Linked DNA regions of Arabidopsis thaliana. The protein of the gene in region 2 interacts with the protein of the main gene of each other region in a biochemical or structural test. Each region holds a gene or a part of one and is shown on either strand. Other genes may lie near its edges. The genes, in order: ALB3 and CPSRP54.

Region 1 (7,616 bases), on a different chromosome or scaffold from region 2:
GGGAAATCGCATACTAAACCAATCAAAATCAGACTAACCAAACAAAAGCATTAGAAGATCAGTCCGATGTTACGACAATAACCCTAGAACATGGCCGAAACATTAGTGGCAGAAGATGACTTTGAGCTCTCTAGGAGAAGCACAGTCATGCATAAGCGAAGGACTATCATGAGCAAAAGTGAAACTCGAAGGACACGCATGCTTAAAGAACAGCGAATGGCTCGAAGCTTTACACGTGTTAGGGCTATTGTAATGACCACGACAACACAGCTCGTCTGTATGGAAAGCCTCACACCCACTCTTACAAGCCACCACGTGTCCACTGTGTGACCGGACCTGAAGATGAGCCGGACACGTTTTTATTAGATCTTCACGACAACCAACGACAGGACAGACACCATGGCCTTCGTGAGGAGTCACGGTCATCGGAACATTGTAACCGTCAACGAGAGAGACACCGTAAGAGGAGAAGTCGTGGTGACCACCGTGGTGGAGGTCGAACTGAGCTAGAGAAGCTGGTGGTGCCCCGCCGAGACCGTTGCATTCCAGGCGGTTTCCGCAGTCTCCGGTGAGGCAGGAGAATTTTCCGTTGTAGTGGGCACACCAGGTTCTGGCCCAGATGCGACCGGACCAGTGTGTGGTTGGAACGTTGAAGGAGCGGTGAGTGAAAGTTGGGAGAGCGAAGCCACCTTTCTCTAGGACGGGGTGGCCGGCGTTGGGTTGAATGGCTGGCCAGACAGTGAAGGGACAGTTGTTGACGACGGTGAGGAAGAGACGGGAAGTGTCTACGGCGGAGGAGAAGGAGATGAGGAGGAGGAAGGAGGCGGCGAGAGGAAGAGAGGTTTTAGCCATTGTGTAGCTTTTGGTGTGAAAGGTGTGCCAATGCGACGTGTGTGTATATAAGCTAAAGTATTTTTCGATATGCATACATTTTTTGGAGTGACGAAAATACCCTTTGGATGTTTTGGGTGGTTAGGCAATGAATTTAGCATGTGGGTTTAAGGAGGCGAAGGGCTTTAATGTCAGTTTAAAAGAGATGAATATTGGATTCTATTTCTATGAGTCAAAAGCTTGAAAGCTCTTTAAAGAATAAAATGATGGCATGTGGTTTGTGACTAACGAAGCTTTGTTTCCTTCATTGGTAAACTAATCCTAATGTGTGTTTTTGGTAAATAGCACTATTTCGGATGGTTGAAAAATAACATATTCTGAAAATATTAGGCAGATATATTAATTTTTAGCTGTTTCCAACAGTTTTGCTTTTCTAGGATAGTAAGCATTCACATATGTAATGTTTACAAGTTACAATGAGTAAACCATAATGCAAACATTTTAGATGGACCGATTGATTTATGTGTTCTAAACTTCTAAACCTATTGAAATGTACACTCTATTACATGCTATGTGACTCATGATTGTAACAACATGACAACTTTCTCTGAATATTAGTGTAATGTGGCTACACTGACAAGTTATATTCGTTCAGATTAGTAACAGGGTTCTTTGACAAACACATCAAAACGACAAACACCAAACGACAACACGACAAAACAAGATGTCTTTTGTCTACTTGTACAACTTCGAGAATTTGAAAATCGTGTAACCATATCTTGGGCCTCAGCCCAATCCAAATCGTAATATTTTTACCTCTCTCTATTTTATCCATGCCAATCCAAAGAACAATGCTTCTTTGTCAGGAAGTAATTGTTGTTTATTCATGGGGAATCGTTGTCTCGTTTATTGCACAAATTACTATACTACTTGATTCACATTTACCATTTTTATAAGCTGACAAAGCTAATAAAAGCACCAAACAAATAGATTGCAAGTTTACAACAACGAAATGCTAACAAAACTGAAGCGGGCATGTTGAAAAGTCATAATAGTACACACATTTACGTTAATACATTTATAATAAGATGAATCACATAAACAATTTACTTTGATCAACTACTGCTTTTAACTTTAGAATGACCTTTTTGTGCCCTAATATTAGATAATTACCGGACATGGTGTATGCAAATATATATCAAAAGATCAAACTAAGGAACAAGATTCAAATCTCTCTCTTTTCTCTTCCTTACTTGCAATTTCGTTTGCTTTGGTTCTATACAGTGCGTTTCCGCTTCGATCTTTTGCTTCTTCGTTGGCCAACCTCAGGAAGCGGCTTGCTTGTTGTGCTCGAAGCTAACGCTCCTTCACGAGCCTCTTCTTCCTCATCATCAGACCCTTCTTCTGATTCAGACTGAGATTCTTCTACCAATTCAACTGTATCTTTCGCAACCGCCTTGTTCTTCTTGCTGCGCTTCTCTTGCTCTTTTAATTGTCTAAATCTGTTGTGATCCAATATACATTTATCAGAAATAACAAACTTGTAAGAAAAACGCTTCGTATTGAGAGATATAATCTCCACTAGACTCGGGATTCACTTACCTTTCGCCAGCATCGTCAGGCTGAGCAATAGATCTCTTTGCTCGTCCCGCACTTATTATTTTGCTTGCGTTTTCATCCATATTTGGCTTTGCACCACCTAGTTTACGCAGATATACTTGTTGGGCGGTACTAAGTACATTATTTGTGAGCCTAAAACCATAGGATGGTTTAACATAAGCAGTAGCATAATAAAAAGGGAAAAAATAAAACTCAGATCCTACCAATAAACACAGTCATATACAATAATATTGATGTTACAAAATGTAGTCACACTAGATGATTCCTTATCAAACAAGCTTCGTATTCCTCGAAATTCTAACCCGTCTTACGTACATTTTGAGAATGAAGCCATCTAGGTTAATTACTAGAGAAAATCTTTCTTATACTCCATTTAATGAGTAGATCAAGGGCATGGATAAAACAGTTAGATGAGAAGTTTCAAGGAGAGGGAAACCAACCAGTAAATAGATAGTCCTGATGGGACAGACAATGCAAAGTAACCGATCATGAGTGGAAGAAACTTGAAAACAAGAAGCGTATTCTTCTGTGCAGGATCATCAGTCTGACAAAAGAAATTAAATTCGGTTTCAGAACAATCATATCAAATTGTTTAAGTAACAGGAAAAATAAAAGAAACTTGTGTTTATTTCTCACTTGAGGAGGCTTCATAATTTCCATTGACACATACTGGGAGGCAATAAGTAGAACAGGTAGAACAAGATAAGCTACAGTGTCATACCATCCCAATGGTGGATGCCCGTCCTGCACCACCGAACGATATTAGACACCAATTTGATAAAGGTTCATTGCACAGCAAAAGACTCAGTTGTATGAAATTTTTTAGTATAAAGATAAGTATCAAATGAGAAAACGTATTCACATAAAGTTTTTTTCTTCCATTACCACAAACGGAAAAAGCCACGAAATGCCGGATCCACTCTGCCGAGCAGCTATAGATGTTGGTCCACCCAGAGATGGAATCCAAAAGAAACCTTCTGTAAACAATCCCTACAAAAAAAAAGTTTTTAGAACAATTAGTAGTTGAAAGAGACAAACTTATCCGGTCTCTAGCGAAATCAGTAGTTGAAAGAGACATAAGGTATATGTACCTCGTTGGCCACGTTAGAGAGAGCTTGGTATAAACCAATCCAAACTGGTATGGTTGCTAAAGTTGGTAAGCAACCTAACATAAAAAAAACAATAATGTGCATATGTCACCACAATTCAGGAAGGGAATACAAAACTCGTAACTTCTAAAAGAAAGTACCTGCCAACGGATTAACACCAGCTTGTTTATACAATCGCGATGTCTCTAGTTGTATCCTCTCCTATATATCCAAAAACAGAACAAACAAATCAGACTCGTCATCCACAAGTAACTCATTCTCTATCCAAAGAAACTCACCTGATTTCCTGCGTAACGTTGTTGAATCGCTTTGATTTTCGGTTGAAGATTTTGCATCGCTAGTGTTGATTCAACCTAAAGGATTCCAAAACAAAAGCAATGCTCAAAAATTCTCAACCAACATGCCAAAATTGAATCAAAGTGACAAGAGGAGCTGCAAAATTCAACTAATCACACTCACTAACCTGTTGCTTAGTCAAAGGATACGTCGCTGCTTTGACGATAATCGTAAGCAAGATAATCGCAAATCCATAAGCATAAGGTACATGAACCGCTGATAATCCATCCTTCAAAATCTAAAAATCCAAACCAAAAAACTTAAGCTACAAATACAATTTCCAGAATTCTACACACAGAGATCGAAATTAGCAGCTTAAAACTCACCTTAAGAACCAATTCCATAGCATCGGAGATAAAACCAAACCAACCACCACTCTTCTGCACGGCGGATGAATCAGTAGTTACGACGGAATCAGCACCAACAACGGCGGCGTCAGCTATTGTATAGAGAAGAGATTCAGCTCTGGTGAAAATCGCTCCGATGTCTACAGATGAATCCAAGCCATGGAAAGGAGGAATCTCGTTTAAGCTGAATCGTACGGTGGTTGAAGTAGTGAAGAGTTTGTTATTATTACTCCGGTATGGAAGAAATTGAGCGGTTCCTCCTCCTCCTACTCCACTGTGACGGAGAGATGACGACGGTTTAATCAACGGTGAACCGAAGAATGAAGATGGAGACGAGACTAGAACTCTCGCCATTGGAGCTTGAGAGGAGGATGAGAAGAGACGAAGAAGAAGATAGAGATTTTTATTTTTTTATTTTGTAAATTTTTTTCTGGATTTATCTTTTTTTGAAAATAAATTGGAAAATGAAAATGAGAGACGAAGCTGGTGATCGCGCGTGGTGGAGATTACATCCAGTCATAGGAGTCCACGTGGACATGTATCTAACGTGGGATATATCGGTGCTTTTTGTAGTTTGGGCTTATTAGGGCCCATTTTAGAAACAGGCCTGCTTAACTTAATAGGCTTAATTACCAATCCATCAATCTCCAAGCTCAATGCATGGATCACTTCCCCAACACAAAATAAAACTGAAAGCATACAAAATAGAAACCGATTTAGAAAATACTTTATGTAAATACTTTTCTATAAAAATCAAATCTCGAATGCTTTGTGAATGTATGGTAAGCTTTTCCACAAAATATATATAATTGTGAAGAAAAAGCTGCGTACTCTCTTTCAATTAGTTGACATCGAATCTGATTCTCACACCACCACCTTTCTTACTTTTATTTCTTGTCATTATCACTTTCTTTCCACGTTTTATATTATGTAGTTTTTATAAACAAAAAAACAAATGAACTAATCTGAAACATTTATCGAGAACCTATACACAACCCTAAAAAGGTAAGCTTGAGTCATAGGACTTAACTTCCCAAAGCCATAATCCGGTTCCCAAATCTTCATAACTTACGAAATAGTAAGTGATTACAAGGCCTTTAAAGATTAATCCCACAAAGAAAATGTATTTAACACTAGAGCTTGATCGATGTCTATAATGAGTTCAGCCTAAATAATGGTCGTAAATAATGCTCTCTAACGTAAGATAGTTATAAATTACGCTTTGAGTCCCAAGTCTAGTGGAAAAAACAAATGGGATAGAATTTTCATGCTTTTAGGGAATTAAATGTGACCGCAAATGGGACTAAGTAAAATCTTTTGGATAATGATCTCTAGTGTTGTATAGATTTTAGGATCCTAATCTCTCAGTTAATAAGCAAAAAGAACAAGGTTTAAATGTTCATAGAGGGATTCGTTCCTTAATCTCTAGCTCAGATCGATAGCTTCAAAACCTATAATCAATAATCTCTCAATAATTTTTTACCAAAAAAAACAAACCTATAATCACCGGCTCGCTCTAAGTGCACACCCATACGTTTATGTGATGTAATATTCAACAAAACATAGCTAACGTTATGAGTTTTTTTAAGCATCATACTGAATTAAATATCTTCCACATTGTTTTCAAGAATCATCCACCGTTCCTCAATTATATTTCACACGTCACGATCATATATAGACCTATACCAAATACTATATATAGAAATTAAATTTAAAGTTGTTTTGAAAATAATTATATTTGTTATTATTATTTTTCGTTGTGAAATAATTATTTATTTCATAATTTGTTTTTTAACATAAATTTTTGATAGAAATGATGATGTTGTAAGTTTGACAAAAAAAATAAAAAAAATGATGATGTTGTATTTTTTTCTTAATTTTATATGACAACGAACGATTAAGAGTTCGTATTTATTGTTTTATAACATAACGACGTCGACACAGAACTTTCAAGGCTAAACTCACTTTTTGATGGAGACGTAAGAATAATTTATGGGTAATAACTCATTAATTTGTTACTAAATAGAAATTATTTCTCTAAAATGCTTTTCAATTCATATACAAAGGATACATAGGAAAATTATAAAAAGTAATATTTGTATGTACGGACCATCAGAATAATAACGTAATATTTTTTAATCAGGTTGCATATTACCTCGGGCTTCCATTGATTAATGGGTGCATAAGTAATTAAGTAAATTCATATGCAAAGTTAAGAGTGGTACAAATTATAACCGCATATGCGTTCTTTAAAAAAGTAATTATGAAAATTTGTTCGGCAGATGAAGCAAATGATTAGTACACCTATGCCAAATCTTAAAAAATTAGAATGGAAAGCGATATATGAAATTGAACGTAGTCATATTGAATTCGTAATCGAGACTTTCACTATTGTTTTTAAGAATGTTTGGACGAGAAAGAAGCTCATAAAGCAATAAATTAGTTAACGTTCATAATTGAAGCATTGACACCAGGAGAGAAAAAAAGAGCAATTCATTGCTTCCCTAGTAAAAAAAAAAAAAAAAAAAAAAAAAAAAAAAAAAAAAATCAGATATTTGTGGATAAAGAGTTAAAAGAAATTGTTTCGTCATTTTTTTCTGTCATAATTTCGTCAACTTTTTGTTTAACAATATGCATTATATAAATTTTATTAATAATAGTAACACATAGACACGATTGTAGCATAAACCACTAAAATACATGGTTTCAGTGTATCTAAGCTTTTGACATGTAGAAGTTCTACGTTTTTCATGATAAATTCGAAAAATTATTGAGAAATGATATATGGTCAAAATGAAGAAAAAAAGAGAGAAGATAACAACAAAATGGAGAAGGACAAGAGCACAAAAGAGATGAGTGGGATTATGAAAAGGTTTGCTGATGATTTCATGCATGATCAACTAACGTTAAAGATTATTTGTTTTTAGGGTAATAATACAACATATACGCCATTTTAGGCAATCTCTTTCTGAAAAAGATGTTCGCATTTATATACGAAACGACTGATTATTAAAGATATATACTACATACAACAAAATCGTTAGGGAAAAGTAAAAGAGAAGATAAAATGTAGAGACAATTTGAAAGATCTCTTCTTTGTTCTTCTTTTGAAAATAAAAATAAAAGTAGACATAAAATAGAAGTTGTAAATGACAGGTTTCATCTTTTTCATGCTTTTTTTTCCCTTTCTTTACGTCGTTTGATACCGAGTAAAGTTATTTTCATACTAAGATTCAGTCATTATTCTTGTTAGAGTTATTGTTCTTATATATTGAAATATTAATATCAATAGGAAACGAGATTAGTATCATAGTTTTTTAATGATGACGTAGAACATTTATATTTCATTGAATAGTTAATAGTAGACAATCAA
Region 2 (7,684 bases):
TAAAGGTCGAAGGTCATTAGACACAAACTTACGATGGTTGTTCAACGATCTTCTTGCTCCAGAAGATCTAATCAGACGTGGCCTAACCGGCGATGTCAAGGTGAGTTTAAACGGCGACTTACTTGACAAGATCAGCCTTGAGATATTCATTGAAAGCGACCAGAGATATTTTTCCCCTGAAGATACTCTTAGATATCTTCAATGTTTTTTCCCCTCTAAAAACTAATTATTATGTATATACAAAGTCTGTGAAATTTAAAAATATGTAAGCGTTTCTACCTAAATAATCAAGAGCTTTGTTTTGCACCAAAAAATTTACTGCAAAGGCGTTGATGCTTGATGAACAAGAAACCAATCCCCTATTTTTTTTTTATCCCCTATTTTCGAGGGTTTACCGGAGCTCAGAGGTCTCGGAGATTGTTGAAATGGATGTTTGAGAAAGAGAGATGAGCTCCGGCGGTGAGATAACGGCGGCGGTGTTAAGCGGAGGAGAAATGACATTTCTCTCCAAAACAAATTGAATCGAACCAAAAGGAATATCAACTTCTAATTCTAATTTGATGATAATTCGTCTTAACCGAAACTAAACCGAGAATTTAAGCGGTTGCTAAGATCTGAGGCCTTTTAAACCCCGAAGCCCGTTAAAGCCCTTTAACAGCATATTAATATCATGACAATAGTCTTAGTGGTTCCCCGTGCCATGCATAATTGCATATTATTAATTAAATTTATATTTAAACCTATGATATTAAATACATACAATAATAATGTAGTATAAAAATATGTTAACACATAATGTTTAAACCATGAGCAATAAATTTGGAAGTTAATAATATATGCATGTGAAAAGGAGATTATAGGAATTCAATATTTTGTTATAAAAATTACTCCTAATTAATCAATTAACAATTAATGAGAATTAATGCAAAAAAACATAAAAATAATTGAGAGTCATTGTGGTGAGATATAAAGAAGATTTGTAACACTAAAAATATGGATGGTGAATAACATAAAACTCATTCCAAAACAAAGAAAAGAGAAGTCACAGGTGATGATGGCCAAAGAAGGAGAACATTCCGGAGCTAAGGAAGTGAAACTTACCAAACCCAAAATTTCCTTGTCGGATCTCACCTTTGTCATTTACGTAACTACCCGAGAAAAGCTATCATCTTCTACCATAAGTTGTGAGGAGATACCACTTAAGAAATGTGGCGCGGAGCTAGAGTGTGGCTCCAATGATCGATTCCATATACAAGTCGAAAACTTGAGCCATATGGGAATCTCCAAGTCTAGAATGGCTGGTGTAAAGATCGAGTGCGAGGTCATTTATAAGGAAGACTCGGAAGACGAGGCGGTAGTTAGAATCGTTAATGCTGAAAGGCCATTAGGCACAAACTTTGGATGGCTGAACAACGATCTTCTTGCTCCACTAGCTCATCGTGGTCTAACAGCCGAAATCCAGCTGAGTTTCAACAGCGAGTTATTGGACAAGATCGACCTCCAGATATTCCACCGAGGCGAGGGGAGATATTTTTCCCAAGACGATACTCTTGGTTATCTTCAATGTTTTTTCCCATCTAAAATCTAAGTATTTTAGTTATGCAAAGCCTATGAAATATTTAAAAGTACAATTTGTATGCATTTTGTTTGGTCGATTATATGATATTTAAATAAGAATATATTTCTACCTAGATAATCATGAGTTTTGTCAACAAATTGGTAATTAACTTGTAAGGTTTCTGTCTCATTCATTAACTTATACAAAAAAATAATCCGTTTAGAAATTAACCAAATTGGGCTGAAATAGTTTTAGTTACCAGAGCCGAAGCCACGAGGACCAGGCTTGCTTGATGCTGACTCTACAAATTTCTTCCTTGAGTCTGCCTTTCTCTTCCTCCTTGCAGTTCCAGGTGGAGCCTTAAGATACATTTACAAGACCCCATTAAACTCTGGTACATGTTAAAGATGAAGAAGAAGAAGAAGAAGAAATGGAAGAAACCTTTTGTTCTGCTTTCAATGCGTCCTCGAGACCGCTTAATGCTGGAATTGATCCTCCTTCCATCACTCCCATCAAGTTCTTCATTTTCACTCTCATTTGGAAGATTTGTGCTACAAGTGCGCTCACCTGAACCAACAACAACAAAATGGTATTGAGAATCTCCTTCTTCTTGTCTGAGATCTGCACAAAACTAAGCTCACAATCTGAGCGAGAGTACCTGTTGTTCTGTCTTTCCTGAATCTTTAGCGATTCTTTTTCTTCTCTCTGGAGATTCTGCTAGTAACTCTGGTCTCTCTCTTTCCTCTGTTCCAACAGATTTAAACCAAGAATTAGACAACCAAAATCTAGTTTATGAAATGCTTGTTTATTTAATGGAATGGAAGAAAGGAACAGAGACAAACCGGGTGTCATCACTTCAATCATTGCTTCCATGACTAAAAGATTCTTTTCCGCTTCTCGGATTTGTGCTGGACTCACTTTCCCCATTCCGGGAATCATTCCAAGAACTCGTGTCATCGAACCCATTTTCGCTACAGCACGAGTCTGCTTTAGAAAATCGTTGAAGTCGAACTTTGCACTCATTATCTTCTTCTGCAGATCTTCTGCATCTTCTTGACGCATCTATAAAGACAGATGAAGAAGGCCTCAATGGATAGAGAGAGAGGGAGAGGAAAACATAGTTTTGATTGTAATTTTACTGAGAAAGAACTTACAACTTCTGTTGCCTTCTCTACAAATGAAAGCACATCTCCCATTCCTAGAATTCGTCCAGCCATTCGATCTGGATAAAAGGGTTCAAGATCCTCCATTCGCTCTCCACGTCCTACCAGTTTAATCGGTTTTCCTGATACCTAGTAACACCCATTTAAGTGTAAACTATCAATGTTGAGCAACATTAAGTAAATTTCTATAAAATAATTGATTAAAGAAGAAGAAAACAAACCTCCTTGACACTCAAAGCAGCACCACCTCTTGAATCACCATCTAGCTTTGTCAAAATGGCTCCTGTAATTCCTATCTCTACATTGAATGTCGTCACCAGTGCTGTAGGAAGTACAGAAGCTCATCTTAGTATATGACCGATACAGCTACGGTTTTGAATCTAATCCATTTTCAGGATGTCTCGAATCTTCTTGACAAAGGTAAAATAGAAACAGCGTACCTGCAGCTTCTTGTCCAGTCATGGCATCAACAACTAGTAACACTTCTGTTGGATTCAGAAATTTCTTCACGTCTTTTAATTCGTCCATCATGCCTTTATCTATCTGTCACAAAGAGGCAATTTCATGACTGAAGCTGCAATAGATTTATGATACAATGACTCTTAAAGACGAAACATTACCTGAAGCCTCCCTGCAGTATCCATAATAACTACATCAACATTGTTCTTTTTAGCTTCTTTTAGACCTTGCTTAGCTATATCTGCAGGTTTTACATCAGTCCCTGCTGTATAAACCGGCACACCAACCTGACACAAAGAGGGCATCAGGGAATATTGATTTCCGGAATCAAATATCATCACATATTCACACAGAGGTTAAGCCATTTCAATACCTGTTCACCTAAAATGACAAGTTGATCGATAGCAGCAGGTCGGTATACATCTCCAGCAATAAGCATGCAAGATTTTCCCTGTAAACATCATTATTAGTCAGTGTCATTGACAGAAAGTAGTAACAAACAATCCCATCAAAATCTCCACTGTATTCATACCTGCTTCTTTAGGTAACAAGCTAGTTTAGCACAAACCGTTGTCTTTCCAACTCCTTGGAGCCCAGCCAACAATATTACTGTAGGACCTGATTTAGCAAACTGTAACTCAGATACTTCTCCACCCATCAATTTCACTAGCTCATCATGTACAATCTGCAATAAAGCCATGATAAGCCACACTTGAGTACTATTGATACCAAAATGATCATCATAGAGTGAATCAAATATCAAACCATTATGCTAATGAAACAAAAACAAGAACCGGTTTTATTGCTAATTACCTTGACCAATTGCTGATCTGGTTTGACTCCACGAATGACACCCATTCCAACGGCTTGGTCACTAACAGACTGAACAAACCTTCTAACAACTGGGAGACTCACCTGTTAACAAAATTACTTTTATACCACATTCTTCACAAGAACCTAAATGAAACAGAATAAAACACCACTCACATCTGCTTCCAGGAGAGCTCTTCTGATATCCCGCATTGGCTCAGCAATATTGTCCTTAGTCAAGACCTCTGCAAGTTCAAATAACGTAACTAGCTTAAACCCGTGCTCATCTTTTCTGCATCTTCTAATAGCAAACACTACTCTTAACTACAAAGTTTTCTTCATTGAATACATCAATAAAACTTAGTCTCTATTCATTCCTCCTAATTTGAGCTCACGGGCAACGAAATAAGAAAGAAAAAAACCGAACCTTCGCCTTTGAGTTTGCTCCAAGCAGCCTCGAGGCCACCAGTCAACTGACCAAACATCTCGGCTCTCACTTGGCTTCTTCTGTATCTTCCATGGCCAACAACAGTCTTCGATTTCACCCAACTCCATATCTCTCGCTACTCAACACAGAACATCACAAACAAGACTAAATAACCAGAAAATCTTACAAAACCACCAAACTAAAAAACGAAAAGAAGCAAACTTTGAAGCCAAACCGTGGAGAGATTCCTAGAGGAGGACAGAGAAGCTGAATTGATGGTGCCACCGGTGAACGCAGAGCTGAAGGCAGCCTTAATTCTCCTATTTCCGGTACAGCTCAGAGTACAAGGAACTCTATTCACGCTGGAAAATTGAAGAGCCTCCATTACTAGTGAGTGAGTGATCAAAGCTCAAAACTTTTCACGACTCTCCGCAATCTTCTTGGTACTTCTATCTTCCTTTTGGATGGTTCCATTTTATCCGTTTCGATGACGTGGCCCAGTAACAGACCGTCGATGGTGAGCTTTCCACAAAACGCTGCATTTTAAAACTAGAACCATCTCTCTCTTTCTCCTTACAGGCGCGGCTCAGATCCCGACAAGTGTACGGCTAAGATCACGAATCTCTTCTTGAAAGTAATCCTCCGCGATTACCCAATCGGTTATCGGTTCGGTTCCACTCGATTTCGGTTCTTTCGATTATAAAGTTTATTTGAATATTTTAAAATTTAGTTCAGTTTGGTTCCACTTCTTTCAGTTTTAAAATTTAGTATCCATTGTTTTAGATATTTTCTGGTGTTTCGGTTATTTTTAGATATTTTTAAGTATTTTTACTATTATATATATTTTTCAAAAATTAAAAAACTTTTAATAGTGGTAAAAAATTGCAAATTTTAATTTATTTTTTTTAAAATGTAAAAAAATTATATGTATAAACATATTGAATTTAGAACACCGCTTAAGGACCTCATATTATGGACAAGATATTGTGTCCAATTAGTTTACACATAATTAAAATTTAACATTTAAAACAAAAATATTTTGTATAAAAACAAAAACAAAAACAAAAACAAAAACCTTAAATTTTAAATAGTGATATGAAAAATACAACTTAATATATTTTAAAATATAAAAAATGTTAAAATTTAAAGATGTGTATAACATATTGAACCTAGAACACCGCTTAAGGACCTTATATTATGGACGGGATGTTGTATTCATTTAGTTTACACATATTTAAAATTTAACACTTAAAAACAAAAAACATACTATGTATATATAAAAATTATTTTATCTAAAATATTAATTAGAAATAAAAAAAATATTAAAGTTTAAATAGTGGTAGAAAAAATACAAATTTAAAATTTTTTTAAAATAAAAAATTGTTAAACATTTATATATATGTAAACATATTAAACCTAGAACACCGCTTAAGGATCTCATATTATGGACGGGATGTTGTGTCCAATTAGTTTACACATACTAAAATTTAACATTTAAAACAAAAATATTATGTATATTTTAAAAATAAAACACTTGATCTAAAATATTACTTCAAAAATAAAAAAAAAACTTAAAGTTTAAACAAAAACTTGAATAAAAATTGCAAAAGATTTTTTAAAAATTAATGAGAAAAAACCCTTTTTTTCGACATCACTGAGGAAAAACCCTTTAATTAAAAATATATTAATTTCTAAATTAAACAAGAAAATGAGTTGCGAAATAACCTGACAATGGGGCTCATTGTTTGATGGGCTGAAATTGTTTGTGTTGGGCCTCCGAGAACACATCGACCATCTGAGAGCACATGCGATCATCAGTAACCGTTACCGGAAAAACGAATCCCCCAATCTCCGACGATCCCTCCACCTGCTCAATCTCCATCGCGGAGAAAACCTCCAACATCATGAATCCAAAAGCCTTAAATCCCGGCGACATGTAAGCCTTTAACTCCTTCGAATCGTCTCGCTCTCTCTTTCTACGGTGAGATGTGGTCCCAAATTGACGGCGAAGTGAATATCCTCCGTCGTTTATACGAGACGTGATGCTTGCGTGTGTGATGATCTCTCTCTCTCGTCTTCTTCGTAGCTATAACAAGTGAACAGAGATCCGTTGTATATGTATGAGTCTTTCTTGGGCTTTGACTTGTGGAATGATTCTTTCTAAACGAAGGGCGAAGAAAGAATCAGAGCATCATCATCTTGAAGCAGACAGATATCGAAGAAGAGAATTGATAATAAAGCTAATCAGAGAAATTGCATCTTTTAACTCGTGGAGATAGAAGACGCGAGACGCAGGTATTTATAAACTTATTTGTTTGAGACTCAAGTTTCCTTTTTCCTTTTCACTTAGGGTTTGTTTAAAGCCCAGAGCAAAACACCAACCTTAGGTTCGGTGATAATCTAGCCGTTATACACGGTTAGGTGATAATCTAACAGCTATACATGGTTCGGGTAACAAACTTTCCTTTTTTAAGTTGATACGCTCCTACTAATTTCTTTATATACGCTTCTCATTTATCTAAGGGTAATTTGCAAGCCACACCCTTTGATCATGTTTTATTTTCAGGAATTGCCAAAGTGAAAGGTGGTTTTCACGTTTTGTCTTTTCAGCTGAAATTTGACCATTTTGCCCTTGCTGCTACAGATGAGAAATTGTTGAATGTACGGTTTAGTTAGTCAGGTTTAGTTAGGTACACTGTTCCGGTTTAGTTAGAGATATTTTTGTTTCACGTTGAGGAGCGCGCTGTACAGTTAGAAGAGAGATTTTTTCATTATAAACGAAATGACATCAACATTTAATGGCCCAAAAAGTTTAGACGTGACTCTTGTTATAATTAATGCAAAATCATCATTACATGTTATTATATTATAAAATTATTGATAATAATTGTTGAGTTAAAGATGAATCCAGGAACAAACATTAATTGCGAACGTACATTGATGCTCAAGAAGTGTTGATCTTGTCTATTTACGAAGTTTGGAGCCAAGATAAGCATTATCGTGTAAGTAATGAAGTTTTAAAGATTTTTTTTGTTATAACACGCTATGATCTTCATTTTATTCGAAATCGACTTTGTTTTTTTATAGAAAAACCCAGAATTTTTTTATTTCCAATTTTGTTGGTTGAAAATGCTAAATGTGTAAATATTTATGTTTCTAAGTGTGTACATCGAAATTCTATTTATTTTTGTAGATATAATCATGTTTTCAGTTGCATTTAATGGGTTTCTCCTGAATTTATGATGCAGTTGGGTAATGGATATTCCC

What was found.
Region 1: the proteins of CPSRP54 (region 2) and ALB3 form a complex in vitro, tested with the Arabidopsis thaliana proteins (one study listed by BioGRID).

What each region holds. Positions count from the first base shown.
Region 1 is NC_003071.7:12,354,562-12,362,177, forward strand, and holds ALB3 (63 kDa inner membrane family protein), read right to left. Parts: upstream 5,008-7,616; 5' UTR 4,598-5,007; coding exon 4,223-4,597; intron 4,135-4,222; coding exon 4,024-4,134; intron 3,914-4,023; coding exon 3,839-3,913; intron 3,762-3,838; coding exon 3,701-3,761; intron 3,617-3,700; coding exon 3,543-3,616; intron 3,442-3,542; coding exon 3,337-3,441; intron 3,196-3,336; coding exon 3,088-3,195; intron 2,996-3,087; coding exon 2,892-2,995; coding exon of another isoform or gene 2,858-2,891; exon of another isoform or gene 2,584-2,857; coding exon 2,434-2,583; intron 2,334-2,433; coding exon 2,108-2,333; 3' UTR 1,760-2,107; downstream 1-1,759. Other genes in the region: AT2G28790 (Pathogenesis-related thaumatin superfamily protein), read right to left, coding at 103-927. UniProt on the Arabidopsis thaliana protein: Required for the insertion of some light harvesting chlorophyll-binding proteins (LHCP) into the chloroplast thylakoid membrane.
Region 2 is NC_003076.8:1,058,456-1,066,139, forward strand, and holds CPSRP54 (chloroplast signal recognition particle 54 kDa subunit), read right to left. Parts: upstream 4,971-7,684; 5' UTR 4,803-4,970; coding exon 4,653-4,802; intron 4,554-4,652; coding exon 4,418-4,553; intron 4,236-4,417; coding exon 4,168-4,235; intron 4,096-4,167; coding exon 3,994-4,095; intron 3,866-3,993; coding exon 3,713-3,865; intron 3,632-3,712; coding exon 3,554-3,631; intron 3,468-3,553; coding exon 3,342-3,467; intron 3,265-3,341; coding exon 3,162-3,264; intron 3,044-3,161; coding exon 2,943-3,043; intron 2,851-2,942; coding exon 2,713-2,850; intron 2,621-2,712; coding exon 2,401-2,620; intron 2,303-2,400; coding exon 2,217-2,302; intron 2,126-2,216; coding exon 2,000-2,125; intron 1,918-1,999; coding exon 1,810-1,917; 3' UTR 1,651-1,809; downstream 1-1,650. Other genes in the region: AT5G03920 (F-box protein), read left to right, coding at 1-226; AT5G03930 (F-box protein), read left to right, coding at 1,052-1,588; AT5G03944 (uncharacterized protein), read right to left, coding at 6,156-6,353.